7 linked regions of the Sus scrofa genome follow. The main gene of each other region encodes a partner of the protein of the gene in region 7 in a complex. Links are inferred from orthologs where the notes say so. Each region holds a gene or a part of one and is shown on either strand. Other genes may lie near its edges.

Region 1 (4,132 bases), on a different chromosome or scaffold from region 7:
AATTTGAAAACTGCTACTGCTTACCTAGTATGATAAACAGTAGCAGCAATCTTAGTTAAAATGAAAATCATACTGGTGGGAATGTAAACTGGTCCAACTGCTCGGGAAAACAGTATGGAGGTTCCTCAAAAAATTAAAATGACCCAGCAATCCCACCTCTGGGTATGTATCTGAAGGAAATCACAATCCTGAGCAGATAACCTGCATTCCCATGTTTACTGCCTACAGCATCATTTCCAACAGCCGAGGCATGGAAACAATCTGTGTCCACCATCAGATGAATGGATAAAGAAAATGTGGGGTATACACACAATGGGTCATTCAGCCATAAAAAAAGAAGGAAATCCTGCCATTTGCAACAACATGGATGCCCCTTGAGAGTATTACGCTAAGTGAGACAAAAAGAGAAAAACAAATAGTGTACGATCTCATAAGTGGAATCTTAAAAAAACAAAAACTAAAACCAAAACCAAACTCAGGAGTTCCCATCGTGGCGCAGTGGTTAACGAATCCGACTAGGAACCATGAGGTTGTGGGTTCGATCCCTGCCTTTGCTCAGTGGGTTAAAAGATCTGGCGTTGCCGTGAGCTGTGGTGTAGGTTGCAGACGTGGCTCGGATCCCGCGTTGCTGTGGCTCTGGCATAGGCTGGCAGCTACAGCTCCGATTAGACCCCTAGCCTGGGAACCTCCATGTGCCACGGGAGTGGCCCTAGAAAAGACCAAAAAAAACAAACAAACAAACAAACAAAAAAAACAAAACCAAACTCACAGATGCAGAGAACAGACTGGTAACCTGCCAGACATGGGGGGTGAGTGAAATGAATGAAGATGGTCAAAAGGTACAGACTTCACAGGATGAGATAAATAAGAAAGAAAGCAGAGAACACATCTAGCATTTTCACATCTGTTCGTTCATCATAAAGAGAAGCACACTCAACTCTGACACAGCAAAGGAAAACAACTGCTTTAGTGCAGCATTGATCTAAACCATTCTCAGCATCAACTACGACAGTGAATCACCAGCGAACCTACCTGAGTGATGCTCTACTTTACCTGCCCAGAGTTACACCACCTACATGTACATACATGGGCACCACCATGCATATGACAAAGGCAGCACAGGGCCAGGCCCAAGAGAGGGGGTTGCGGAGGGTGAATGACAGAGCAAGCACTAGCAGGTGACGGCACCCCATGTCTGCAAAGCCGTTTCATATGCCTTGAGGAAGTCAGCCTTGGAGCACAACCCTCTTAATTTTGCAATTGTTCGGCATAACGTTAGAAGGTGAGCCCTGCACTCTGCTGCTCGTTCCCCACTTACTTGTCACTGGAGATGCTGCAATCTATGACTGTTTTTCTGCTTGTGTTGATGATTATAAACGGCAGCTGGATGGTGGAGTTCAGAGCTGGAGGGCCCTGGTTCTGCTGTTCATTTTGCCGATTTCTCTGTACCAGGTTTTTGAAAGCAATTTGCTGTGATGATCAATAAAAACATACATTTAGTCATTTCATGTGGATAAAGGAGGTGGAACTAAATGGATTATGATGAATACGCTTAAAATATAGTTTAAAATGAGAGCATTTAAAGAGGCCTTTCACCTCTGGGTTAATTAAAATTAAATATTTAAGAAGAAAGATTAGAACGATCCAACTCAATAAATTTCAAGGGAAAAATATACTCTTAAATGGTGTCTAACGTATCCTAATGTAAATAATAGGGCCCATGGCTTCCACCACCCACTAAAGCAGGATCTTACAGATCTGGGAGAAGCCAGTGCACCCACAACTCATAGAGTGAGTAATACAGAGAAAGTGACACCAAGTGGACTTGTTTTCATTTATCTAACACAGACTCCTGAGAGCTTAGCATGAAATACACTTCTTAGATTGTCTAGCCCAGAAATATGCAAATTTTATAAAGCCACAGAACCCTTTCTTCAAATGACATCTTCTGGGACAGCCACTATTTATATAACAGATGAAAGCAGCATTGCTCTGGCTGGATGCATGGGACTGAGTCCTGAGCCCTAAGCCCCAACAGGTCTGCCCTCACCTGAGATCCTTCACAGAACTTCTAAGCATCCTGAGGGCAGAGTCTGGAACCTGGCCCAACCTCTGCCCACCTGACATCTTCCAGATGAGGAAACTGATTCTAAGATATACCAAGGCCTGAATCTTTACACTGAATCTCGCTACTTTTAGTTATAACCATTACTCATAAGGCATAGAAAGTGACCCCCGCCTCCCCTTTTTCTTACTAGGGCTGCACCCGCAGCATATGGAAGTTCCCAGGCTAGGGGTCGAATCAGAGCTGCAGCTGCCAGCGTATGCCCCAGCCACATCAAACCTGAGCTGCATCTTCGACTTACATGCAAGTTGTGGCAATGCAGGATCCTTAATCCACTAAGTAGGGCCAAGAAGTGAACCTGCACCCTCATGGGTACTAGTCAGGTTCTTAACCCCCTGAGCCACAAAAGGAATTCCTACCACAGCCCCCCCACTGTTTTCCATTTGGGGACCACAAGGTAAAACTTTCAAGGCAGACTTGGTTCCACCCAACCAGCACATGATGAAACCCTCATCTAAAACCTTCATCCAAGAGGGCACTGTCCGCCCCAAAAGTCACCTCAGAGGCCAGACCCTTCCTTCTAACGATGCCACTGTAGTCGCAGATCATTTGGAACTGCTCCCCCAAGCAACTGTGTGGAATGCTTGTCTGGGGCAGTTCACCGTCTGCCTACAAGACCATTGTCAGGATTTTGAGGCCATAGCTTCCTCTGGCACAAAACGACATTTCAATGTAATCATTGTAATAGATGGCAAAAAAAGTCACAGTTCTCTCTTTGCTCCTACATCCCTACCATTTGATTTGTAATTTGCTTTGGCCAATGGGATGTTGGCAGAAATAATGCACAGGCTTGAAAATGGACTTGCACACAGAAATTTCTTTCTCTCTATGGCTCTGCCATCAACATGAAACTATGGCCCAGTTAGCTTAAGAGGAGCTACTGTCCACAAGGCAGGAAGGGTAGGCAGTGAATTCCCCCTGGACCCTCTGCAGAGGGCAGATGTAGGGCCAGCCTGCAGGGTGCGAGCCCCCAGTCCCTGGGGCCCACTGTCAGACCAAAAGAAGATGCAAGGTCATTTCCAGGGCGAGGTCTCAGGGGACGAGGGAACTACATCTCCATGACCTGGTCCCTACTACCGCTTTTTAAATAAGGCAGAACCCACAGTTACAAAAACCTTAGGCAACTGAAGTCTTTGATCTGCTCATAGAACGGATACTAGTTTTAAAAACTAAAGTTGGAATCTTTCTTCGGCTTGCTCCATCTTCTCCCCCAGCAGTGATGAGTTTATTTTCTACATTTCAATAGCCTTATTCTAAGGTGGTTTATTTTAGGTTCTGGGCCTTACTGAAGTTTGGTTACAATTATTATTTTTAAATGGCTGGGTGCTATCTCCCTGGAAAGTAAACATTTACTTTTTGAAAATGCACGAAACAGAAGGGACACCAGTATATTCTAGGCCTAAAAGTGTGTCCAAAAGTCACTACCCAAAACCATCACTGTCGATACCATTCATTACCAAACATTACTTGGGTCCTATGTGTTATTTTCTGCTGCTAATGAACTAAGACTATTTCATATTCAATACTTCCTTCACTTAATATGGAGAAAAAATATGCTGAACCTGTAAAACTGGGGAAATGAATTGTATGTTTGAATACTTCTGCTCTCTTCTAGAAAAAGCATCTCAGAGACGCCCCTATATTTTGCCTAGCTTTGTGGTCCTAGTGCCATTGGGAGGGGGTTGGCATGGGGGGGGATATAAACAGGGATAAGTAACAGTTCTTATGTATTTATGATTCATTGTTCGATACTATGTTCCCTTGACAGCAAAGATTTTTCAAGTGAAGAAAGCAGTAAAAACACATATGTTATTTTGAGAGTAAAAAAGAAATACCACTCCCCATTTGTTTTGAACTAATTTCTTTTGGTCTTTTGTTGTTGTTGTTATTTTCTTTTTGGCCATACCCAGGGCATGCAGAAGTTCCCAGGCCAAGGACTGAACCTGAGCCACAGCAGTGACAACGCCAGGTCCTTTACCTGTTGAGCCACAAGGGAACTCACAGCCT
Region 2 (4,132 bases), on a different chromosome or scaffold from region 7:
TGAACGTCTGAAATGTCTTCAGTTAATAGTTGAGTACCTGGTTCTTCTTTTTCCCAATTATCTAAGACTAGTGACTTTCTCACTTTCTTTACAGAAGCAGTATGCTAGAATGAATAATTTACAGAAGGAACATTATGGCAAGGTCACTTGAACAGGATAAGGCTTTCATTAACAATACTACTAAAAGATTACCTCTTGTTTGCAGCTTTTATAAGCAGGTTCATCTTCCTCTTTGAGGAATATGTCTGTTCCAGTTTCTTCTTTTAAAACTTCCCGAATATCTTCTTCCAAGAAGGCAAGTGGCTGTGACTAAAGTATTTTTAAAAGGGTTTTAAAAAAAGTCTTTTATAGCAATTCCTTTTTCTCCCCATATATAGAAACCCATCTTTTATACTTTTTCATTCTTGCCATAATTTTCTCCCAGTCCCTATAGATACATAAACTGAATATATTAACTAATTCATTCTATGGCAAAAATAATATTGCTCATTGGAAGCACTGAATGAAGTATGGTAATTTCTTCACATTTAGGGCACTAAACAAAAATCTTCCTTTGGGGAAACTACTATATCTCCTGCTTCAATCAGGAGCCTCAGAATTACACAGAAAAGAGACTCTTTCCCCAAGTATTTTTATATAAAAGTAGGACATATAGAACAAATTGGGACTACACTAGCTCTCCTTATTCTATTATTATATAGTGTGTAATTACCAGCTGACACATTTCTCTTACCACTAAATGCATGATCTACATAAGAGCAGTGATTACATCTTTTTGTGTATACATCTCTGCACACCTAGCCTTAAGTTCAGAGCTGGGACACAGGGTTCAAGAAGTGTGTATATCACACAACAGGTTAAGTAGGAATTCAAAACAAGCAAAGGTTTATTTGCAAGGAAAAGACTGACACAAATTAAAACTCAGAAATCAAGAGATAAAATTTTCTAAATCCAGTTCAGTGAACATCTTTTTAAAAACACTAAGAACTAAAGATAAAAATCAAAATGTATATTTTATTAAATATAGGAAAATTCTAATAAATAAAAGGAGCATACTTACCACAATTTTAAGAGGTCCATATTTTTTCTCCTGAGCAGCAAGTGCATTCTTAAAAGGAGTAGGAGTTCTTGGTGTGGTTCCCAATATAGATCTTCTAATAGTAGGTGTTCTAAACCTATGCAATCATTCAGATATTTGTGTTATCATTAAAATTTGATTTCAGATGAGTTAAGGAAGGCAAAAAGGCATACACCAAATTTTTCTTGCATATACACAATCTTTATATAAACATTCCAAGACTATTTTAAAGTATGCCTGCCTAAACTAATACTTATTCCAATCAATCATCCTAAAATAGAAAAAAGACTAATGTAGGAAAAAAAGTACTAAAAAAGTGGTCAAAGTTTTACACTACATTTAGCTGGGTTTTGGTCTCCTGGGGATAAAATTTAAGGTTATGATATGTTAAAAATTCTAAGTCTCATATGGACAAGAAATTGTATTTCTTGAAATTATGCTTCCCATTTTCTCTAACACGACTATTTAATATCTACTTACCCTACATTTTCCTTTTGATCTTTGGGGGTTGTTTCTTTATGAAGAGGCATTGTAATGAGAACTTTCTGCCCACAAATAGGAGTTGATGTGAATGAAGGATTTTCTATATTAATTTGTTCATTTCCAGGACATGTGTTGAAAAACTAAAAAGGGAAAAGAGTTTAAAGACAATTTCTAAAATTGTCAGAACCCTACAAAAATATTAAACTGATAATATTTCCAAATTACTTCTCCATTCCTTTTAGGAAAGGATCAACAATACCACATTTACATTCTACCCTATAGAAATTAAGCTCCATGAAAGCACAAATATTTGTTTTGTTCACCACTGCCTCCCCAACTCTTAGAAAAGTTTTAACACGTAGTAGGCATTCAAGAAAAAGCCATTCAACAGATATTCACAAGTTACAAAACAGGACAAGAAATTTTCCACACATTGTATCTTACCAAATAGGAATCTACAGAAACCATAAACAGCTGTAAGTTATGTACAACAGTGTAACTGAAAAAAACATGTTTTACTATTTTGTTAATAAATGATCTTAAGTGTTCCTTTCTATGAGAATATTTAGAACTCACAATATAATAATCTACTAATAAGAAATACAGTTGTCTGCCTATTTAGAACACAGCTCAGAACCTTTGAGGAACTAAAACTGGCATCACGGAGTCCATTTTCCAAATGATACAATTTATCCACTGGATCTTAACTTACATACAACTGTGAAATATTTATTGTTGTAGCCAACAGATTAGAAGCAGGGGTAGGAAAAAGTGGAAAGTGCTTTAAGGCTAGAGTGGATTCTAGCTTTACCACTTTTGGCTCCTAATACTGCAATATACTTAATCCTAAGATTAGCAATCAAACCCTCTTAAAACACTGCAGTGATGCCCATAAATCATAGGATAAAATCCAAACTCTTTGCTATGGGATATAAAGTCCTTATAATCATGCCTCACCTTCTCTGCCATTTTCCACCTTAGAATTTACTTTTCAACAAAAATTACAGGTGTGCAAAACTTCAAAAATAGAAAATTGCTAGTGTGCTCAAGCCCGGTTCACCTTCCTCAGAATACTTTGTAGATCTGAGGGTGAAGCTAGAGGACACACTACTTACATTACAGCCCATGTAAATGGCACTTTCTGAAGCACAAGGGGTGCAGTCTTCAGAGAACACAGTGTACTGACTGCCAGATCCTCATCTTACCAGCATCAAAATATACCTCCAATAGGAGTTCCTGGGGTGGCGCAGTGGAAGCGAATCTGACTAGTAACCATGAGGTTGCGGGTTCAATCCCTGACCTCGCTCAGTGGGTTAAGGATCCAGCATTGCCGAGAGCTATGATGTAGGTTGCAGACGTGGCTCTGATTCTGCGTTGCTGTGGCTGTGGTGTAGGCTGGTGGCAACAGCTCTGATTAGACCCCTAGCCTGGGAACCTCCATATGCTGAGGGTGCAGCCCTAAAAAGCAAAGCAAAGAAAAAAAAAAAACAAAATATACCTCCAATAATACCCCACCATCCTCCAAGTTTATCTCACCATTACTTTTTCTTCTTCTCCCATAAAAATTTTTAACCCCTGTCAAGACACTTTCAGCAAATATCAGCTTCATCTCTTTCTTACTAACTGACCTTGGACAAATTTCTTAACTTCTGAATTTCATTCTACCTACCTCCTAAGGTTTTTTGAAACAGGATTAACTGAGATACTATTAGAAAATTGTTCGGCACATAGCCTGAAACATAGTATAAAAGATATAGTTTGTCTCATTATAAACATCTGCTGCTCGGGGATAAAACTACAGGAGAGGGAGTTCCCACTGTGGCTCAGCAGGTTAAGAACTCAACACAGTGTCCATTAGGATGCAGGTTCGATCCCTGACCTTACTGAGTGGGTTAAGGATCCTGCATTGTTGTAAGCTGTGGTGTAGGTCACAGATTCAGATCTGGCATTGCTGTCCCTGTGATATAGGCCTGAGCTGCAGCTCCAATTCAACCCCTAGCCCAGGAACTTCCATATGCTGCAGGTACGACGACCTTAAAAAGAAAAAAAAAAAAAAAAAACACAAAAAAAAACTATGGGAGAAAGCAGGTAGCTTCTGACAAACCCAGATGATCTTCTTTCAAGAGACATGAAATTCTTACAGGGAACAGCTGTCTAAGGATATACACCTAATATCTGCTCAACAGTCAGGAAACTGGCTCAGCTTTGCCATAAGATTTTACCTTTCTGGGCCTGTTTCCTGATGAGTCCTATAAAGATGTGAAACTACATACATAAAACATCCCTTTTAGCTCTAAACATTGTTAAGATACCAAAATGCAACCACTACACTTTGAGACAGTTTTCTGATTTATCACAGCTCAACACTCTTATGTATACATTTAAACACATTATTCATTTTATCTGTTATCAAAGCAATGAACTACTAGTATAGATGTTAAATATCTAATCGAGCCCATCAACATTTAGAATCATAAACAAAAACAACACTACTACCTGTGAAGGAGAAAATGGTAGTGTTTTCACTGGTGTGTGTTTTAGTGCTGTATTACCGCCATCACTGGACGAGCC
Region 3 (4,132 bases), on a different chromosome or scaffold from region 7:
GAACCAATCCTCCACAATCACACTCCATGTGATTTGAGTCTGAATAACCATTCCAATCTGCATCCACACCCAGGCCCCAGGCCTGGCCCATCCCAGTGCTCCATGCTGCTTGGCTAAAGGACTGGTTCCAAGATAGGTATGTGAGTCAAGATGGAACAGTCAGGGTCCTCCCCAAGACCTTTCTTTGCCATGTGCAGAAAAGATGTTCTTTCTTTTAGGATTATGAGATTTAAAGACATAAGAGCTGGTGTTCCTGCTGGTTACCTTCCCTGGTGCTAGATCAAAGAATAATATTAATGCATGAGTGAAGCAGAGCTTTAAGATAGCAAACTAAAACTAAGAATGAGGGCATATTCCAAAGACTTCACTAAGAGTCATGAATCTAGATATACTCAAAGCTATTTCTACCCCTAGAATTTTGATTTATGTGAATAAAATCCTTCTTTTGCTTAAGATTGTTTGATTTGACATTCTATCGCTTAAAACTAAGAGTTACCAATATGCTTTCACTATACAAAGAACAATAACTTGTAATCTAGTAAACTCTGTAATTACTTTGACACTCTACTATAAAAGGCACACTTTAGATTATAGTGGCTTCTTACCTTGAGAACATCTAATAAAGATACTAAAGTTACTTTCTGAATTACACCAGAGCTCATCATTAAATATACAACATGCAACCCTGAATAAATGGATCTGGGTACTCACACTCATCCAGCCCCAACTGATAGGCTAGGTTCTGAAGGCCTCGTACCTTCTCCATCAAATTAGCTGTGGTGAGGCTCCCCAGTTCTGAAACAGAATCATTTATTTCAATACCATTTCTTTCCACTGCTTCTAGTAACAACGCATGCGGGTTGCAAATCCTTGTTATAAAAATTTCAAGCTTAATTCCTATGAAATAAGTAGAAAATGGATCCATATCTCTTCTCAACAAATCACATCACCACTACCCCCAGCACAGACGTGCACACACACAAAAACGCACAAATCAAATCAGTGAATTTTTCCACCACTGCAAAATGCCTCAGATAAGCTTACCCACTTAATGAGAAGAGAATTAACGTAAACACAACAACAAATTACATGTTTTATCCTGAGGATCTTTTTGTAACATTCATTTTGCGTATCATACAAAATGAATATATGGTTAAAATTTGAAAACTTGTGATCTGACATAGCATTGAGACAGCAAACAGACAGATCTCTGTCTCACAAAAAGGACACTATCTCAGCTGTCATTTATAAGTCCACATTACTCCAAGTGACAATAAAACACTTATTCTTTCCTATTTCTCCAGGTTTAGAAAACAGGCTAAATATTAATCCAAATTTTACCTTCAAATCAAATTCCCATAAAAAAATTTTTAATTTTACCAGATAAAAAGACAGTAAACTTAAAATTTTATCTTCCCAGATTTTCATTTAAACAGAACTTAATTCCTTTTAAGTTTAGGACATACATGAACTTGCATGAAACAGAATGCTCTGATCCCTTATCAAACTTTAAAGCTTCCTTAGAAAATACATGTTGATGGAATATTATATAAATGTCTGTTTGGAACATTAGAACAATGAACCCAAGATGCCCTTGAGACTTAATTTTTCCAGATGGAGGAAGGGCTCTGCTTTTAAGCATTTCATGCAGAACAATGAATTATTTCTGAAGTCAAATAAAGGTGTTATTTTCTCTCACTCATCATGCCATACTTATTATCTATATCTGGCATAAGTAGACTTTGTGAATCTGTTCAGCTGCTTAAATAGCTTAAGAACCCCAGATTTTTTACCTCAATTTCATTCTATTACTTCACAACCATCATGAATCTTATCACTACGAGGATGATAAAAAAAATTAAGTAAAGTAGAGCAAAATCAAGGAAAATTAATGTTTTTTAATTTAAATTTCTACTTTGTGATTTAGTCCCAAGCCATTTATCAAACAATGATATTCACTACTTACAGTATTCTCTATGGGAGAAATTGATGAGATAGAAAGAACTAAAAGACAGGTCTTAACCCACTAAGGGGTTGTCAATTAATAGTACTCATAACAATATATGACAGCAAATCCTAAATAAGGCACTTGCATTATAACAGTAAGAGACTAGCTTTAAAAGATCCGAGTTTAGGAGTTCCCATCGTGGTTCAGTGGTTAACGAATCCGACTAGGAACCATGAGGTTGCAGGTTCTACCCTGGCCTCACTCAGAGCGTTAAGGATCCGGCGTTGCCGTAAGCTGTGGTATAGGCTGCAGACGCGGCTCAGATCTGGCACTGCTGTGGCTCTGGCGGAGGCCGGCGGCTACAGCTCTGATTAGACCCCTAGCCTGGGAACTTCCATATGCTGCTGGTGCGGCCCTGGAAAACACAAAGAGACCAAAAAAAAAAAAAGTTCAGAGTTTAAATTTTAACTCTTTCTATAATAAAGCTTGGTTAACTTCTGAACCTTAGACATCATATCTAACTCACAGGGTCTTTATGAGAATTAAATAAGAAATTTTATGTGAGAGCTTATAGTTAACGTTAATTTTTTCTTTTTTTTTTTCTTTTTAGGGCCACACTCGAGGCATATGGAGGTTCCCAGGCTAGGGTTGAATCGGAGCTGCAGCTGCAGGCCTCTGCCACAGCAACGCAGGATCCGATATGAATCTGTGATCTACACCACAGCTCACAGCAATGCCAGATCCTTAACACACTGAGCGAGGCTGGGGATCGAACCCACAACTTCATGGTTCCTAGTTGGATTTGTTTCCACTGAGCCAAGATGGGAACTCCAACGCTAAGTATTATACAAAATAAAATTAACATTAAAGGAATTTAGCAGCAGAAAAAATCAGTATGGTTGGGTCTTGAATTATTTCTACACATGGAAAAGTAGAGAAAGGCATTTAGATATGAAGAACCATGAATAAGGATGGTTAAATAGGCAATTTGAAGCCAAAAATACTTGTAAGGGAATCGTGAAAGAAAAACTGGAAAGGTGGTTTGCACAGGAGCATAAAAGTCAGGTTGAAGGTTAGAGGTCACCAGCTTTGCTTACCTTTCAACATGTCAATGTCATCGCGTTCTATTTCAGCCATCCATTTGGGTGGGGAGCTAGTAATGGGCTGTCAGAAAATAAGAATACATCTATTCAGACATGTGCAATGTATAGAGATCCTACTTTTCCTTCTTTTTTTTTTTTTTGCTTTTTAGGGCCGTACCCTGGTATGTGGAAGTCCCAGGCTAGGGGTCAGATCAGAGCTACAGCTGCCAGCCTACACCAGAGCAACACAGGATCCAACCTACATCACAGCTCGTGGCAACACCGGATCCTTAATCCAATGAGCAAGGCCAGGGATTGAACCTGCATTTTCACGGATAATAGTCGGATTCATTTCCACTGCACCACGACGGAAACTCTCTACTCTTCTTTCTTGTAAGAAAAGGAGGTTGTCACACAGTCCTCAGGTTGTTTGAAAATACCAGCAAGTTATAATTTCAAAGAACCAGATTTCTCCAGATTCAGCTCTGACCTACAAATAGAACCCTTACAAAATAATACTACTGATCTTTAAAAGCTGGTTTTAAAGTAATGATCTTGAAAGATTTAGGTCTGAATACTGTTACTAGTGTACGAAAAATAGGTAAGTAGAGCCATGAAAGAAATTATTTGAGGAGTTCCCGTCGTGGCTCAGTGGTTAACAAATCCGACTAGGAACCATGAGGTTGCAGGTTCCATCCCTGGCCTTGCTCAGTGGGTTAAGGATCCAGCGTTGCCCTGAGCTGTGCTATAGGTCACAGACGCAGCTCGGATCCCTCGTTGCCGTGGCTCTGGCGGAGGCCGGCGGCTACAGCTCTGATTGGACCCCTAGCCTGGGAACCCCTATATGCCATGGGAGCGGCCCAAGAAATGGCAAAAAGACAACAACAAAAAAAAGTTTCTCTGCCAGTCAGTGCTTTTAACTTTAGGTACAAATGCCTCTAAATATGGTATAATGAGCATAGACGCTAGTAAGTAGACTAAGAGGTTCAAAGCCTGGTTTTGCCATTTGTAGCCTATAATCTTGAGTAACCTACTTAACCTCTTTATGTCTATTTCCTTCTCTGTAAAATAGGGATAATAATAGTACCTATAGCTCATACGG
Region 4 (3,778 bases), on a different chromosome or scaffold from region 7:
TTCTTGCGGGTAGACTTCGATGACGGCCCTTCTGGCTGGTGTGAGGTGACCCTCCTGGTAGTTTCGATTGGCATTTTTCTCGAATCATCAGTGATGGGAGCACCTTCGTGTGTTTTTGGGCATCCGTGGGTCTCCCTTGGAGAAATGTCTGTTTAGATCTTCGGCCCATTTTTGATCGTGTTTTTTGACGTTGGGCTACAGGAGGTGTTTGTATGTTTTAGAGATTAATTACTTCTCAGTTGCTTCGTTTGTGGATGTCTTCTGCCATTCCGTGGGATGTCTTTTCGCTTCGTTTATGGTGAGAAGAACATTCATAATGTTAGGTACTTGGAGGCGCTGCCTGCAGATCCTGTGGGGGCCACGGGCCTGGGTCCCGAGGGCAGGGGCTTAGCTGCGCGACCACACCCCAGTTTCCCACTGAGCGAGCTCTGGCAGGCGCAAGAGACTGCGTTTCCCGAGCATTTCTGTCCTGTCGTCTTTAACCAGGCTCACTGCGGACTAAGTCCCATCTGAGGAAGCAGTGATGTTTTTGTTTGTCTTTTAGGGCCGCACCTGCAGCATATGGAAGTTCCCAGGCTAGGGGTCCAATCGGAGCTGCAGCTGCCAGCCTCCACCACAGCCATAGCCACCCCAGATCTGGAACCTTGTCTGCGACCCTCACCACAGCTCAGGGCAACACTGGATCCTTAACCCACTGAGCGAGGCCAGGGATCAAACCTGCGTCCTCTTGGTTACCAGTCAGATTTGTTTCCACTGAGCCACGATGGGAACTCCTGGAAGCAGTGATGTTTAACCAGGCTCACTGCTGACTGACCAAGTCCCACCCGAGGAAGCAGGGAAGGCCTCATGCTGGTGGCAGGGAGGGTGCCCAGATGGCCCCGTGTCTGGAATCTGGACGGCCTCTGCCGAGTTTTACCCCTCGGTCGGCGCCCCTCAGCACCTGGCGTTTCTCGTTAGCATCCTTTTCCTTGCTGTGAGATACTGAGACGGGTGCCTGGCCCTGTGCCGTCAGAGCACGGGGAGGAAATGGCCCCAGTCCCCTCCAGCACGGTGGGCGCGGGCTGTGACTGCCCACGACAGACCCTTCCTCTTGGACCTGTGCTGGCTTGCTGGTGGCCACCGAAGCCGGGGGTCTCGGACCAGGACCCCGGCTCCTAAAACCTTCTCCGTTCTCAGCCGGGGTCTTGCCCAAGGGCCCTTGGCCTAGATGGTAGCACCCCCGCAGCTGGCTGCGACAACCTAAGATGATCACTGGTCCCAGATGAGGCTGCCACCAGCGCCCGTGGTCCCCGCCCAGGGCCAGCCCCGCCGGGCATCAGGCAGCACACTCCATGGAGCTGCGAGGACTGGGGTCCCTTGGAGCCCTTCCTGGAGGGGCAGGAGGCAGAGCATCTGACAGAGACCCTCCCATCCCGCTCGGCCCCCTGGGCTCAGTCGTTTCCACATGCTGGCACGTGGGCGTGTACACACAGGCTCAGGGGCACACGCTGCCCCCCGGGGCCCTTTCCTGCCCCCCGTCCCAGGGCTGGGGCTTGGCAAGGTCACAGACAGAGGCCTGGAAGGAGGACCTCAGGTCTCTGGGTTTGTGCACCGGGTTGGCTCTGATGTGCAATGAGCGGGGACAGGACCAAATCCTGGGGCCGAGGCTGCCCTGGTTTTGGTTGTGGCGCATCGAAGGGGCCGAGAAGGGGTGAAGCCGGCCACGGAGTCCTGGCTTCTGTGACGTCCCGTCTCTGTTGGCCTCCTTGACCAAACCCAAACCTCCCCGAAATGCTGGTGTCTGTGCTGCAGACGCTGACGCCTCCTGTCCTTGCAGCGACCTGGCCAACGGCGCGGATGGGACGCTGGCCACGAGCTCCAGCGGGTCACAGTACAGTGGCTCCAGGGTGGAGACGCCCGTGTCGTACGTCGGGGAGGATGACGAGGACGAGGACGACTTCAACGAGAACGAGGAGGAGGACTGAGCCGTGCCGCGGCGGGCGCCGCAGGCGCGTCTGGGGAAGAGGAGCTTTGCCTCGGCTGTTTCTGTCCTTCTGCTCCCCCAGCGGCCCGGGAGCTGCGGGTCCTGCGGCGCCGTCTCCGTGGGGTCCTGGCGAGCCGTCGCGGCCTCGCCCACCCCTTGAGAGTCTGTGTTTTCCTTTGCTGTTTTTAATTCAGAGTTGATTTCGCCCCTTGCTGAGTTTGCTGAGGAGCTAGTGCTCGTTGACGTCGACCAGGCCGAGACCCTCCTGCCCGGCCGGCCCGACGCAGCGCCCGGGCTGCGGGCCGCGCCGACGGCCAAGCTCTGGCCCTTGACGTTTGATTGCGACTTCGTTTCCCTTAAATTATATTGACTGTGTGACCCCGTCAGGTTTATACTTTGTTTTCACTCTGTGTTGCAGCGGTTTGCAGAGTTCTTTGTTTTTGTTTTGTTTTGTTTTGTTTTGTTTGGAAAAAAGTTTACTGCCATGCTGGTGCAGCTATAGAAACTGAAAGCTTGGAATGGTTTATTGCTTATGGTAAAATTTGCCTGATTTCTTACAGGCAGCATTTGGAAACTTTTTATTATATAGTTGTTTACATACTTATAAGTCTATCATTTAAAGACATGTACTGAAACAAATGTTGTATTTGTTTCGTAAGCATCTTCCTGTAATCTATTATAAAGTTGAAATTAAATATAGAGAATGTTTTAACAGTTTTTTAACTCGAAATTTGTCAATCATTTTTAATAGTTCTTTTTTTATAAAAAGAAAAAGGAATTTCAGGACAGGCAGTAGTCTCTTTTAAAATTTATTCACCAAGAACCATTAACTGCACAGTTGCTGTTAGCTGCCTGTTCTAAAATAATAGTCTTTTTATTGGAACACAAATAAACTTTTCTGTAATATTTTGTGGAATAAAGAGACTTTAATTGTTTGACTTGTTTAACTTGGCACTGTTAGTTTTTATTAATAAAACGCGCATGGGAATTTGAAACATGCTGTGTGTCCTGACTCAGGGTTACTGTCTAGAGCTCACTTGATCCGCTGGACGGGGGAGAGGTTCCAGGCCCCTCGGCCACCACAGCCCCTCTGCGGCCTGCGGCTCGTCCTGCTGCTGCCTGGGCGAGGCTGAGGAAGGAGGGCCTGGACACGCCAGCGGCGGGAGCCTTTGCTCCTTGCTTGTTTTTAGAAGAACAGCACTGACCGCTTTAACGTTTTAGTCCCCATAAACTGCGAGCTTCGCAAACGGGTCCCCTAAAAGCACCACGGGGAAGGTGGCCCTGGAGGCCCTCGCAGGTGATGCACCTGCGGTGTAAACCAGGCCAGGCCGCTGGGCCTTTCTGCTGGATCCCGAAAGTGGAGACATTCTTTGGGTTTGATTTTCGGAAAGGGGGAGGTTGTAAGGCGAGCTGGGGGTCAGTGTTTTCTTCAGGCACGCGGGTCAGTGGGTGAATGTTTCGGGGAACGGCTGGAGGCTGCAGCAGGCGGGTGTCCCCCAGCACGTGGCAGCGCTCCCCTTCTTCCGGGTGGGGTCCCGGGGGCTGTGGGGGTGGGGGAGGGCACAGCTGCACCTGCTTCCGCGGGTTCCCTGATCTCTCCACTGCGTCTGCTGGGTGGGTCCTGCCAAAATCACACTCGGGGCGGCGGGGGGTGGGTGGGGGGACCTAGGCCCCCGGCAAAGGGCTCTAGCGACATGTGACCGTGGGCCTGTTGTTGGGGGAGTCCCAGTGCTGGGGGGCACCTCAGGCAGGCGGAGGCCCTGATGCTCATCGCCCCTCTTTTCCTAGCAGGCAGCTGGTCCAGTCATATCAGCG
Region 5 (4,132 bases), on a different chromosome or scaffold from region 7:
ATTATTTGTTTGCAACTTTACATCTCTCCTCCCAAACCTGTACTTAGAGATGCTCTTGGTTTTCACTTAATAACAAATTAGACTTTTCTCTCAGTTTCAGCTCCTTTTTCCCAAATTCTACACCCTACTTCCACCCTCTTCAGCCACTCTAAACAGCACACTCTGCCTCATACTAAAAAGGCCAAGTTGAGAGTTATACACCAGTTTCCCAGCTCCTCCCCTGCCGTCTTTGTCCTTATCACCCTTTTTGGCCTCAAAAAGAGACTGGTAATTCTGGGCAAACGACCTTCTTCAACTGTACTCTTGACACCATTTACTCCCAGCTCCTCTGGAATATCCCAATGTCATTCTGCCTTTTCTTATTTTCCCAGAATCTATGAACATGCTTAATCAAGCTTTCCCACTGGAAAGGGGGAGGAAAGGAGAGGTGAACCACCCCCTTCAACCTGGCTCTTTCCTTCTCTTTAGGGTCAAATTTCCCGAAAGAAAAATTCTTTGTTATCCTGATTTCATGTCTTCTAATCATTTGTCTCCTTGCTCTTGTTAGGGCCCCTGATACTTTCTGTTCACCAAATTCAATGAGTATATTTTAATCCTACTTGAATATTCCACTGCATTTGAAATGCCTTTCTTATTCAAACCAACTATTGTTTACTGATTTTCATTTATCTCTAATTAGCTTCTACTCCACTCTTCCTGGCCCAATTAAAGGGATATGCCACATAATTCTACTTGTTCCTTTTTCTTCTCGTTTTACAAATCTCCCACAGCAGCTTTATCATCTTGTAAATCCGTTGACAACTATCTTCGAAAAAACTATCTTCTTACTTTCTTCTAAGCTCCAGACTCTTATTTTCCCAATACTGGGTAGCTCTAAATGTTTAACATTCCCTAAACTACTCTTCTAACAACCTGCTGCTTCTCCTGTGTGCCATGTGTCAGTTAACTAATTTCTCATAATCTAACTAATAATTCAGTCCTAGTGATTTTATGTCCCAATTCTCTTTAATTCATTCCTTCTTTTACTGCCTTAGTTAAGCCAACGATTCTTTCCAGAAAACGAAACTAGTCATCTCCTTTCTTTTTTCCTTTTTAATCTTTTCAACTTGCTATTTTGAGACAATCTTCAAACTTACAAAAAAGATGAACAGTCACCAAAGAATGTTTTCTTGTCATTTGAGGGTAAGTTGCCCGCCACATTTGGGTATTTATAATGTTTATTTCTTACAAATAAGAACATTCTCCTTGTGTTAGTTATCTAGACATTAGCCCAAACCTTAGCAGTTCAAAACTACAAATGTCTAATATCGCACACAGTTTCTGAGGGTCGGAATCTGGGCATAGCATGGCTGTGTGGTCTGGCTCAGGGACTCTTGTGAAGTTGCAGTCATGCTTTAAGCCAAGGCTCTGGTCTCTGAAGGCTTGACTGGAGCTGAAGGATATGCTTCCAGGACGGCTCACTCAGATGGCATTAGTGCATGTCAGGAGGCTTCAGATCCATGCTGCCTGCTGGCATGACATGCTCAGCTGCTTACCATGTGGGCCTCTCCATGGACTGCTTGAGTGTCCTCACAATATGGCAGCTAAGTTCCCCCAGAGCAAGGGGATCCAACAGAGAGCAGAGAAGAATCTGCAGTGCCTTTTATGACCTATTCTCTGAAGTCATACTCCATCACGTCCGCTTTATTTTATTAGTTAGAAATGAGTCCCTAAATTCAGCCCACACTCAAGAGGAAGGAATTAGGCTTTGCCTCTTGAAGGAAAGAGTATCAATACATTTGTGGATATGTTTTTAAAACCACCACATTCCTAAAGAACTATAATACAACTGTCAAAGTCAGAAAATTAAAACAGACATATTACCATCATCTACTCCTCAGATTCCATATAAGTTTCTCTACTTGACCTGATGCCTTTAGAGCAACAGGATCCAGGTGAGAATTACTACTGCATTTAGTTATCATGCCTCATAAATCTCCTTCAGTCTGGAACAGTTCCTCTTTCTTTAACTTTCATGGCCTTGACAATTTTATTTTGTCAAGTTATTTTATGGAATATCCTTCAGTTTGAATTTGTTGCTGGTTCCTCATGATTACAGTCAGGTTATGCATCTTTGACAGGAATATTACAGATGTGCAACTATGTTCTTCTTGTTGCATCCTGTCAGGTGGTACACGATTTCGCTCTGTCCCTTACTGGTGGTGTTCACTTCATTTGACTCAGATGGTGTCCGCCTGGCTCATCCACTGTAAAGTTATTTATTTTCCCTTTGCAAGTCTTGCTGTCTTTCTGTCTCATCTCTCTTTTCACTCTTTTTCTATACTGTTGACCTGGACTGTCCAGCCCCTAGCCATATCTGGCCGCTGAGGACTTGAAATATGGCTCCAAGGTTTTTCTTTGAAATGCTTTTTATCTTAAATAAATCATATGCTCCTTCCTTAGAATATTTATCTTCTATAATCTAGAATTTCCCTTTCAGACTTATATGAAGGCATGTTTTGGAAGTAAAATTTTACTTTGTCAAAATCAACCATGTTTATTTCTACTATATTCTACAACATAATTATATTCTTTATAGTATAGAAATCTGTTTTTCATGTAATCTATTTGTATTGATTTACTAATTTTCTTGTTTGTTTCAGTAAGAATCTTCTTTATTTTTCCATATTTTATTTTATTTTTTTTTCTTTTTCAGGGGGACATTCATGGCATATGGAGGTTCCCAGGCTACAGCTGCCAGCCTACACCACAGCCACACTAACTTGGGATTCAAGCCACGTCTGCAACCCTGCACCATAGCTCACGGCAATGCTGGATCCTTAACCCACTGAGCAAGGCCAGGGATCGAACCCGCAACCTCATGATTCCTAGTTGGATTCATTTCCACTGTGCCATGATGGGAACTCCAATTTTTCCATATTTTAAAGTTAGTGTGACATTATTTAGAAATTAGTTTTTCTGGATTAAAGGAAAATATTCCATCCAGAAATATAAACTTAATGTTTTTACTACCACAGCAAATGTTATTTTTCTTTTATTCAAGATTCCTAAATACATTCCTCTAATATTAAACTGCTTTAAAAATAACTGCTATAAAAAATAACTGCAACTATCCCAGCTCTAAAGAAAAGCGACCAGCACCTTCAGATTAAAAACTAATGGAAAAATGGCTATTTTCAGAATATAAAAAACAAATTTTTTTAAAGACCAAGCCAACAAACTGTTGAAAATACTAATACCATATTAAAGCCAATACTGAAAAGCACCAACCTGCTCCATTCTTTTCATTTTTGGCTACAGCATTTGTTCGCTTTGGGGTTCGCTTCTGCTTTTTTGCCAGCAATCCACTAGTTCCATCGCTTGGTCTTTTCTGACCTGAAATAAAAGGAAAGAGAGAATTAGGGGGGAAAAAAAAATCAAGAGCAAGTATATTCATTCGCCTGTCTGCTTGACATGAATTTCCATGTATATGTTTTGAAAAAGCGGGGAGGGAGGGAGGGAAGGGGAGGAAGAAAGAGAGGGAGGGAGAGAGGGTAGAAGGAAGGAAAAGTACTTAGCAGATCAACAATTCCTAAAACACTTAGCTTACTAATTTTTGAATTTAATATAAAGGCTGATTTTCTCCCTAGGAAGTCCTTACCCTTCTCCCTGCTCTCTCTTTCTTGAACAATTATACTACAGGTACCAGAGGCAACACTGGTTTCAAATCCATTGGCTGATTCCCTCTCACAGAGACCTTCTTGAGATTCTTCAGCAATACTATCAACTTCAATGGTTACGTCACTCTCACTTTTTATACTTCGAGACTCATCTTGGCTGAGAGTAAGTGGTGAAGCTACTGAGAAGTTATGCTGTACTACAGGAGGTAGGGCAGGCGGAACAGAAACAAGAGAGTTAGACTCAGAGCTTTCCACTGCTACGTCCTCAATGCTGGTCTTATCTTTTTCATCCAAATCATCCAAATCTACTTCATGGCAAACCAAGGTTTCAGGCCCAATCAGAGGCATTGCATCCTCTTCTTCTTTTAGTGGAATATTTACAGTTTCTTCAGCTGGACTATCAGATTTTTCCTTAGTCAATTCTTGAACACACTGGTTTGACTCTGCTATTAATGATGGCATGCCTTCATTTT
Region 6 (4,608 bases), on a different chromosome or scaffold from region 7:
GGTGTGGCCCTAAACGTGATGGCATTTGGAGAGGAAGCCTTTGGGAGGTATAGGCTTAGACAAGATCACAAGAGTGGGGTCCTCATGATGAGATTAGTGTCCTTATAAGAGACATTATTGGGCTTGCTTGCACTCTTCGCCATGTGAAGACAGAGAGAAGGTGGCCATCTGCAAGCCAGGAAGAGAGCCCTCACTAGAACCTGATTATTCTGGCACCCTGATCTTGAACTTCCTGCCTCCAGAACTGTGAGAAAATAAAATTTCTGTTGTTTAACGGACACTGTCTATGGTATTTTCGTTACACTAGCCCAAGCAAAGACACAGACAAACACACGTTTTTAGGGAGTTCCCATTATGGCTCAGCAGGTTAGGAACCCAACTAGTATCCATGAGGATGAGGGTTAGATCCCTGGCATTGCTTAGCAGGTTAAAGGGTCTGGCGCTGCTGTGAGCTGTGGCATAGGTCACAGTCCAAGCTTGGATCCAGTGTTGCTGTGTCATAGGCTGGCAGCTGCAGCTCCAATTAGACCCCTAGCTTGGGAACTTCCATATGCCCCTGGTGAAGAGGAGAAAAAAAAAAAAAAAGTCTATCTGGTTATTCATAAAGTTCTGTCCTATGAATTGGAAACAAATATTAAACTTAAATGGTGTGTCCAATTTTACTCTCTAATGTTACTGTTTTACTTCATTCCAGTGACCCTTTTTTGCTAGTTTACTGTTATTTTAAATTAGAAATATGTCTTGCATGAGACTTTCTTGATGAATTATCATCATATGGAATTTTCATTCCCCTAATATTTATTGGGCATCTACTATATTAAAAGTGTTGCGTGTGATACCAATTTATTTAGAATTTCTCCCAACCCTCAAGAGTGTGTAATCGAATGAGAAAAAAACTTTTACTCAGATCTGCGTTATCTCATTTCTCATTTTGATAGTTTGGGCTATCAAAAAACATAAAAATCTTACGACTGCCTAATATTCTAAATAATACTACATAGCTTGGTTGCAATACGGTATTAAGAACAATTTTAAATGAAGGAAATCTGGAGTCCAGTGGCGAGTCTTTGGGCGAGTCACAGCCTCTCCCTCTACACCTCAGTACCTCTACCTATACTGCTCCATTATTCTGCTTTTCCCATATCCCGAATCTAAAAAGATGATCGGAATAAAACCTTGCACTTGATCAGAGGCATTGAAATACTTGCAAAGGATTCTAAAGTTGGAAAGGACCAAGACAGCAGAAATCCCCAATGAAGGTATTCAGCGGACGGCTAGTCCCGTGAGGTTGTAGAGATCCAGCAGGTCAGAAATCGATGGCCACCAAGCAGAGTGTTTTCGTTTCATTTTTTTCCTCCAAGCGTTGTAGCGGGAGGTCGCTGGTCCTGGGGGTGGCACTCCAACAGCAGAGAGGCGAGCTGAAACCCACTCCTCGACGCTCCCTTCTGCTCTCCCCTCCTTCCTACAGAAAAATGCGTTTCCAAGCAACGGCGGGCCGCGGCGTCACTTCCTGCCATTTAAACTCAGGTCCCCACCCCTCGCCGCCCCTTCTCCTCGCTTCCACTCCCCCTCCCCTCAGTCGTGGGCTTCCTTCTTGGGTCCAGGGCTCGGGGAGGGGGCGGAGGCCCGGCAAGCCGAGCGGCCCAGAGGCCGGTGGGCCCCGCGCACCTGTTGTTTGCAAGCGCCCGCAACCCTTCGTCCCGCCCTCGGCCGGCGGCGGCTGCAGGGGCGGCGATAGAGGTGGCCCGGAGCAGACCCGGCAGGTGGCCGAGCGCGAGGTCCGCACCACTGCGGTGCGGGGACGCGATGGCGGCGGCCGAGCCCGCAAGCTCTGGGCAGCCGGCACCGGAGGGCCAAGGGCAGGGCCAGCGGCCGCAGCCGCCGCCGTCCCAGGCGCAGCCCCCACCCCCGCAGCAGCCACTCGGGGGCGGCGGGGGCGGCAGCAGCAGGCACGAGAAGAGCCTGGGGCTGCTTACCACCAAGTTCGTGTCGCTGCTGCAGGAGGCCAAGGACGGCGTCCTGGATCTCAAAGCGGTGAGCGTAGGAGGCGGGGAGGGGGCGGACTTCAGATCCTGCGGCCGGGGGAGAAGCCCATCCCCTTGCCGCGTGGGTCGGGGGACGTGGTGTGAACGCTCCGCGCGGGGATCTCACGACCTGAGCGCAGTGGCCACGTGGCCTGCGCCCAGGCCCTGGACTTCGGGATGGGGGGGAGGGACGAGGGACCAGGATGGCCCGGACCAGCCGCTTAACCAATGGGGCCCGGCGCCGCGCCGGGCTCTCGACAAAGAGCCCAGGAGCTCCAGCGCGCGCGCGTGGCTTCTGTCTCGGGGCGCGGAGACCCGAGGACGACTGAGTGCCCTTGCTGCTCCGCGTCCACCTGTGGCAGAGGCACAGAGGGTATCTGGGCGCTTTGCCCAGGACACCGTCGGGATTGATTTTTTCCTGTTGGGCATTGTTGGTTTTAATAGGCGATTCTAGCTTAGACCGTGATCAAGTTGTTTAAACAAGCCAGCAAATAAGCAAACAAAACCCAGTTTTGCCACCTCTCCTGGATGAAACAAAATAAAGTGAACTCTTCATAGCCCTCCCTGTTAAAATAATGGTAGTAATTAAAAGAAAAAACTTCTTCCTTGTATATTTCTTTTTATCATTTTGGTGACTAAGAGGGGTATTTGATTTGTGACTTAGAAGGATCTGATATAGATTTCTAAAAATGAGATTTGCCGTCACACGGAAAGGGGATGTTTTATAACTTTGATGCAAGGAGAAGCGCTCAGCAAACTCCTATTTCATGAGATCTTTTACTGCAGTTGAGTTCGGAATTTTCAAACCACAACATACATCAAAAGCCGTTCCGTTAAATAAAATGACCTAACCGTTCCAGTCAGGGTTTGGAAGGATTCCATAGCGCTGAGAAACAAGAGATGTGATCCCTTGAATTAAAATTCAACCAGCGCACCATGTTTAAGTAAAAACTAAAGCTTTAAAAACAAACAAAAATTACTAATGAATCAGTAATTACTGTAGACGCCTCCTAGGCACTACCCCTAAATCTGGGGTTAACACTGAGAATTGGTCCCAGCACCTATGGAAGTGCCAGGACCACCGTACCTAGCTTGAGAGGATGACTGCAATCCTCAAGGCTATGCTTAGGGTAACAGAAGCACCGTCTGAGTAGGACAGCATCTTCTAGTACTCCTTGACCTGAGACTAAGACTCACAGAGGCCAATTTGATGTCCTTTGCTAGAGGTTCTCATCTGAGGACAGTCTGGGAGGTGAGGTATGTCTTTGAATGTCCTCTCCTTTCCCTGGGTGTAGTAAGTGTTGCGTAAATGACTCCTGAATTACCGAAATTGTTCTACTTCATACAAATAAGGCACGATGCACATATTTTGCATTTGGGGAAAAGTTTCTACTATTTTTTTTGAAGTATTACTCCTGAAATTTTCCTGCACTTTTAGAAATACTTGTTTTCTTTTTTTCCCCACTCCCTCTCCTTCCCTCTCTCCCTTAAAGTGCTTTATGACATGTATGTATTTAAATTGTGAACTAAAATGGATTTTTGTTTAAAGAATTTCATAGGAAGTCATGAGGTCATCTTTGAAAGACAGGGATGTTTCCAAACCTACCTTGCAAACTACTATTTGAAAATCTAGGGAGTTCCCATCGTAGATCAGGGGTTAGGAGATCCGACTAGTTTCCATGAGGTCAAGGGTTGGATCCCTGGCCTTGCTCAGTGGATTAATTAGGTTAAGGATCCAGTGTTGATGTGAGCTGTGGTGTAGGTGGCAGATGCAGCTTGGATCCCATGTTGCTGTGGCTCTGGGGTAGGCCGGTGGCTGCAGTTCCTATTTGTACCCCTAACCTGGGAACCTCCATATGCTGCAGATGCATAAAAGATAAAAAGACCAAAAAAAAAAAAAAAAAAGGCTAAAATTCAGGGAGTTCCCTTGTGGTTCAGTGGGTTCAAGATCTGGTGTTGTTGCTGCTGAGGCTTGGGTCACTGCTGTAGCGTGGGTTTGACCCCTGCCCCGGGAACTTCTACATGCTATGGGTGCAACCAAAAAAAAAAAAAAAAAAAGCCTGTGACTCCAATAAAGAATCAGGGAAGTTTGGGGTTTTCCAGATGCAACTGAATTCTGAGGGGCTGACTTTTGAGAGCTTTTCTCACAGCTTGCCTTGGAATATGATGGAAATTTGTCCTTGCTTTCCCCTAAATCTTTGGCTTCCTCCTGTTTCATCTGTGGCCAGATTTTGCTGTCCAGAAGTTTACAGAGGCAGTGAGTGGGAAGTAAAGTTTAATATTTCCTGATAACATTGTTTCATTCATCCTGGAATTTTCCTAAAAGTTCAGAGGTTTCTGCAGTAATATTAGGTCTCATTGTATTAATGATTTTTTTACTTCAGTCCAGTAAATGAGACCAGTTTTTCATTCTTTTTCACATATATACAAATATATATTTCATTTATTTACATATGTTTGTACATAATAAAATCTTATATTGCAAAAATCTTATACTGAAATCTTTCCAATGATGTTTTCTTATTGTGCACCATAGTAAAAGACCATTAAGACTTTTGACAATACATGTTGAAGATGGACGGAC
Region 7 (4,132 bases):
AAAATTGTTCTGGGAAGCTGAACATTAGTGACTTTCCAAATTTAGATCTCTCCATTTCTGTTTTGTATTCAAATAGTTCCATAAGAATACTAGAGCAAGTAAAAGCTATAGCTAAGACCCACCAATTGCTTACTATTTGCAAGGGATAAATATTAACCATACACTAGAGAAACAGGATAACATCTTCAGCAGATGATCAAAATTAACATCAGAGGTAGAACATCTCATTAACAATGAGAGGTAGAAGGATATCATGTACCTCTAAGATATGAATACTAAGGACACAAAAGCACTTATGCAGTTTTCCATCTGGGAATGTAAAACTTGCATCTAAGCATAAAGAAACATGAAATAAATCCAAAGCGAGGAACAATCTATTAAAAAGCGGGGGCAGGGTGGTTGTGAACTATACTCCTCAAAAATATCAACGTCATAAAAGATAAAGGCTGTGGAAATGTTCCTCATTAAAGAAGACTGAAGAGACACAGTAAGTGAATGCATTACCTGATACTAGAATGGAATTTTTTTTTTTTTTTAATTTTTAAGGAAAAAAAAAAAAATCCTGGAGTTCCCGTCATGGTGCAGTGGTTAACAAATCCGACTAGGAACCATGAGGTCGCAGTTCGATCCCTGGCCTTGCTCAGTGGGTTAAGGATCTGGCGTTGCTGTGAGCTGTGGTGTGGGTCGCAGATTTGGCTTGGATCTCGAATTGCTGTGGTTCTGGCATAGGCCGGCGGCTACAGCTCTGATTAGACACATAGCCTGGGAACCTCCATATGCCGCAGGAGTGGCTCAAGAAAAGGCAAAAGGCAAAAAAAAAAAAAAATCCTATAAAGAATGTTACTAGGAGCTCCCGTTGTGTCACAGTGGAAACAAACCTGACTAGTATCCATGAAGACAAGGGTTTGATCCCTGGTATCACTCAGTGGCTTAAGGATCTGGTATTGCCATGAGCTGTAATGGAGGTCGCAGCTGCAGCTCAGATCCTAAGTTGCTGTGGTTGTGGCATAGGCTGGCAGCTGCAGCTCTGATTCTACCCCTAGTCTGGGAACTTCCATATGCCATGAGTGAGGCCCTAAAACGCAAAAAAAAAAAAAAAAAAAAAAGTTACTGGGAGTTCTCGCTGTAGGGAGGTGGGTTAATGATCTGGTTTATCTCTGTGGTGTTGCCAGTTTGATCCCTGGCAGGCTGCAGTTGTGGCACAGGTCACAGATGTGGCTTGGACTCGATTCCTGGCCCAGGAAACCACGGGTACAGCAAACAAAGGGGAAGAAAAAGAATATTACTGGGAGTTCCCGTCATTGCTCAGTGGTTAACAAATCCGACTAAGAACCATGAGGTTGCGGGTTCGGTCCCTGGCCTTGCTCAGTGGGTTAAAGATCCAGTGTTGCCGTGAGCTGTGGTGTAGGTTGCAGACGTGGCTCAGATCCCACGTTGTTGTGGCTGTGGTGTAGGCCGACGGCTACAGCTCTGATTAGACCCCTAGCCTGCGAACCTTCATATGCCGCAGGAGCAGCCCTAGAAAAGGCAAAAAGACAAAAAAAAAAAAAAAAAAAAAAAAAAGAATATTATTGGAGGAATTCCCTGGTAGCCCAGTAGTTAAGGATTTGTCTTTGTCACTGCTGTGGCTCAAATTTGATGCCTGGCCCAGAAACTTCCATATACTGCAGATGCAGCAAAAAAAAAAAAAGATACTGGATCAACTAAAAAAACTGGAATAGAGATGGTGGATTATATATTATTACATCAATGTTAACTTTGTTGAAGTTGATAACTGTACTATAGTTATTTAAGGAAACACACGCTGAAATATTTATGGATAAAAGGCTATAGTAGACACTACTTAAATTGAAATAGTTGAGGAAAAATACTATTTAAGAGAAAAAGATCAAATGATTTAGCAAGTAAGGTAAAATGTCAATAAAAGGTGAATCCCGGTCAAGCATATATATATGGATATTCTTTGTAGTTTTATTTTTGCAACTTTTCTGGAAGCTTAAATTATTCTCAAATTTAAAGTATTAATGAAAGAATTACAGATAAAAAAGATTTTTTTTGTCTTTTCTGGGGCCACTCCTGAGGCATATGGAGGTTCCCAGGCTAGGGGTCTAATTGGAGCTGTAGCCGCTGGCCTACACCCAGCCACAGAAATGCCAGATCCAAGCTGCGTCTGCGACCTACACCACAGCTCACAGCAACACCAGATCCTTAACCCACTGAGCAAGGCCAGGGATCCAACCCACAACCTCAGGGTTCCTAGTCGGATTCGTTAACCACTGAGCCACGACGGGAACTCCAAAAAAGATTTAGAAGAGAGGTCTCTGAAGTTAGAATTTGAGGAAGAGGAGTTTTCATTGTGGTGCAGCAGAAACGAATCCTCCTGTGGCATAGGCTGGCATCTGTAACTCCAATTTGACCCCTAGCCTGGGAACCTTCATTAGCCACGGGTCTGGCCCTAAAAAGCAAAATAAATAAATAAATTTGAGGATGAGGAAGAAAGGCCGAGGAAGAATATGAGAACTGGGAAAAGATATCCATATGATAAGCTTAGAATGGAATGAAGTTAAATAATTTAAAATAAAGAGAAATTAAATCTAGGACTTATAAAGCAGTATTTAAAAAGTCAAAGTGCTTTACCTTAATTTAGCTGAACGTAGTATTCTGGTAAGTGAAACACAATTTCCTTCCATGATACCCTTTCCAACCGTGGGAATAATGCTTTTGCGGCATGCAACATATAATGAACATGCCAACCAGTGTATAACTTCTCCCTGACAGGCAAAAGACAAACAGTAAAATGCATATATTATGTTAAAATGCCTGACTTCTAGAACCAAGAGAGATCTTAGAATTATTTGGTCTAATTTTCATCCTGTATTAACAGGCCAGAGAACTGAAGATATTCGCCCAAGATCAAAATGTTTAGTTAACTGCAGTAATGGGTATAAAACTCCTTACACTATGTTCTACATAACACACTAAACTCATTACTAATCGAAAGAAAGATCTCTCACCTATATCCCAAATCTGACATTATTGAAAGAGTTCTCTTAAAATTTCTCAGCATTAGCTTTCTCGATTTTATAACACCAGTCATGGCCTTGATGATGCTGAAGTTCCTTTCTACCATTTTAATCCGTTTGGCAGAAAAAGGAAGAGCAGAAAGTTCGTAAGGGAATTACACATAAAGAAATTAAATACACATAAAAGAACATGTGGCTCAGGGGAAACAAACCCAACTAGTAACCATGAGGATGTGGGTTAGATCCATGGCCTCACTCAGTGAGTTAAGGATCTGGCTTTGCTGCAAGCTGTGATGTAGTTCCAAGATTCAGCTTGGATGGGGTGCTGCTGTGGCTGCAGCTCCGATTCGATCCCTAGCCTGGGAACTTCCATATGCTGTGGGTGCAGCCCTAAAAAGACAAAAAAAAGAAAGAAAAGAAATAGTATGGCTATCTTAGCAGATATTTCAATTTACAATGTTACAAAAAAAAGATGACATTTGGGAATTTAACATCTAATTCTCTGCTTTATTTTTATTTATTTATTTTTTGGTTGTGCCCGAGGCATGTGGAAATTCCTAGGCCAGGGAGTGAACCATGCCACAGCAACAACCCAAGCCTGCTGCAGTGACAACACTGGATCCTCAATTCACTGGTCACAAGAAAACTCCTAATTCTCTGCTTTAGAGTTGAGATATCCAAGCTAGACTTTATGACCTCATTGTTAAGCTTTACATGAAATAAGGATTAAGAACTAGACATAAATCTCATAGCACAACATAATACTGTTATGCAGATTCTTTAAGATCAGACTCTAGGGAGTTCCCTGATGGTTACTGCTTTCACTGCTGTGGCCCAGGTTCAACTCCTGGTCTGGGAACTAAGATCCCACATCGAGCTGCTACATGCTACGGCCAAAAAAAAAGAGACCAGACGCTAAAAGAATAAAATGACTACTAAAAAGATTTCCTGGAGTTCCCGTCGTGGCTCAGTGGTTAACGAATCCGACTAAGAACCATGAGGTTGCGGGTTCGATCCCTGCCCTTGCTCAGTGGGTTAAGGATCCGGTGTTGCTGTGAGCTGTGGTGTAGGTTGCAGACGAGGCTCGGATCCCGTGTTGCTGGGGCTCT

What was found.
Region 1: RBL1 (region 7) and TFDP2 share a complex: the UniProt entries of both Homo sapiens proteins name them as parts of the DREAM complex. The link is inferred for Sus scrofa from reciprocal best matches to the Homo sapiens genes RBL1 and TFDP2.
Region 2: RBL1 (region 7) and MYBL1 share a complex: the UniProt entries of both Homo sapiens proteins name them as parts of the DREAM complex. The link is inferred for Sus scrofa from reciprocal best matches to the Homo sapiens genes RBL1 and MYBL1.
Region 3: RBL1 (region 7) and LIN52 share a complex: the UniProt entries of both Homo sapiens proteins name them as parts of the DREAM complex. The link is inferred for Sus scrofa from reciprocal best matches to the Homo sapiens genes RBL1 and LIN52.
Region 4: the proteins of RBL1 (region 7) and TFDP1 are in contact, whole or in part, in a crystal structure (PDB 5TUV), measured with the Homo sapiens proteins. The link is inferred for Sus scrofa from reciprocal best matches to the Homo sapiens genes RBL1 and TFDP1. Residues at the interface, in NP_002886.2 of Homo sapiens: Tyr1004, Phe1006, Asn1007, Ser1011, Leu1014, Ile1017, Asn1018, Ile1021; in NP_009042.1 of Homo sapiens: Pro260, Phe261, Ile262, Thr290, Phe291, Glu292, Ile293, His294, Asp295, Ile297, Glu298.
Region 5: the proteins of RBL1 (region 7) and ARID4A are in contact, whole or in part, in a crystal structure (PDB 7SMC), measured with the Homo sapiens proteins. The link is inferred for Sus scrofa from reciprocal best matches to the Homo sapiens genes RBL1 and ARID4A. Residues at the interface, in NP_002886.2 of Homo sapiens: Tyr849, Ile850, Lys853, Val854, Thr860, Phe861, Gln862, Met865, Lys866, Arg869, Tyr879, Arg880, Asp929, Leu930, Ile931, Tyr934, Asn935, Val939, Ala946, Leu947; in NP_002883.3 of Homo sapiens: Leu957, Val958, Cys959, His960, Glu961, Val962, Asp963, Leu964, Asp965, Asp966, Leu967.
Region 6: the proteins of RBL1 (region 7) and E2F5 are in contact, whole or in part, in a crystal structure (PDB 5TUV), measured with the Homo sapiens proteins. The link is inferred for Sus scrofa from reciprocal best matches to the Homo sapiens genes RBL1 and E2F5. Residues at the interface, in NP_002886.2 of Homo sapiens: Ser1000, Ala1001, Leu1002, Leu1003, Tyr1004, Lys1005, Phe1006, Asn1007, Ile1017, Met1020, Ile1021, Gly1024, Glu1025; in NP_001942.2 of Homo sapiens: Met162, Ile190, Ala192, Pro193, Ser194, Gly195, Thr196, Gln197, Leu198, Glu199, Val200, Pro201, Ile202, Pro203, Glu204, Met205, Tyr213, Leu217.

The regions. Positions count from the first base shown.
Region 1 is NC_010455.5:82,766,692-82,770,823, forward strand, and holds part of TFDP2 (transcription factor Dp-2), read right to left. Parts: intron 1,471-4,132; coding exon 1,319-1,470; intron 1-1,318. UniProt on the Homo sapiens protein: Can stimulate E2F-dependent transcription.
Region 2 is NC_010446.5:68,150,626-68,154,757, reverse strand, and holds part of MYBL1 (myb-related protein A), read right to left. Parts: coding exon 4,058-4,132; intron 1,702-4,057; coding exon 1,559-1,701; intron 1,176-1,558; coding exon 1,061-1,175; intron 310-1,060; coding exon 193-309; intron 105-192; coding exon 1-104. UniProt on the Homo sapiens protein: Transcription factor that specifically recognizes the sequence 5'-YAAC[GT]G-3'.
Region 3 is NC_010449.5:97,391,791-97,395,922, reverse strand, and holds part of LIN52 (protein lin-52 homolog), read right to left. Parts: intron 3,113-4,132; coding exon 3,046-3,112; intron 796-3,045; coding exon 712-795; intron 1-711.
Region 4 is NC_010453.5:78,775,355-78,779,132, forward strand, and holds the end of TFDP1 (transcription factor Dp-1), read left to right. Parts: intron 1-1,816; coding exon 1,817-1,964; 3' UTR 1,965-2,958; downstream 2,959-3,778. UniProt on the Homo sapiens protein: Can stimulate E2F-dependent transcription.
Region 5 is NC_010443.5:187,440,621-187,444,752, reverse strand, and holds part of ARID4A (AT-rich interactive domain-containing protein 4A), read right to left. Parts: coding exon 3,641-4,132; intron 3,376-3,640; coding exon 3,271-3,375; intron 1-3,270.
Region 6 is NC_010446.5:51,509,718-51,514,325, reverse strand, and holds the start of E2F5 (transcription factor E2F5), read left to right. Parts: upstream 1-1,708; 5' UTR 1,709-1,806; coding exon 1,807-2,034; intron 2,035-4,608.
Region 7 is NC_010459.5:40,272,355-40,276,486, forward strand, and holds part of RBL1 (retinoblastoma-like protein 1), read right to left. Parts: intron 2,772-4,132; coding exon 2,638-2,771; intron 1-2,637. UniProt on the Homo sapiens protein: Key regulator of entry into cell division. Directly involved in heterochromatin formation by maintaining overall chromatin structure and, in particular, that of constitutive heterochromatin by stabilizing histone methylation.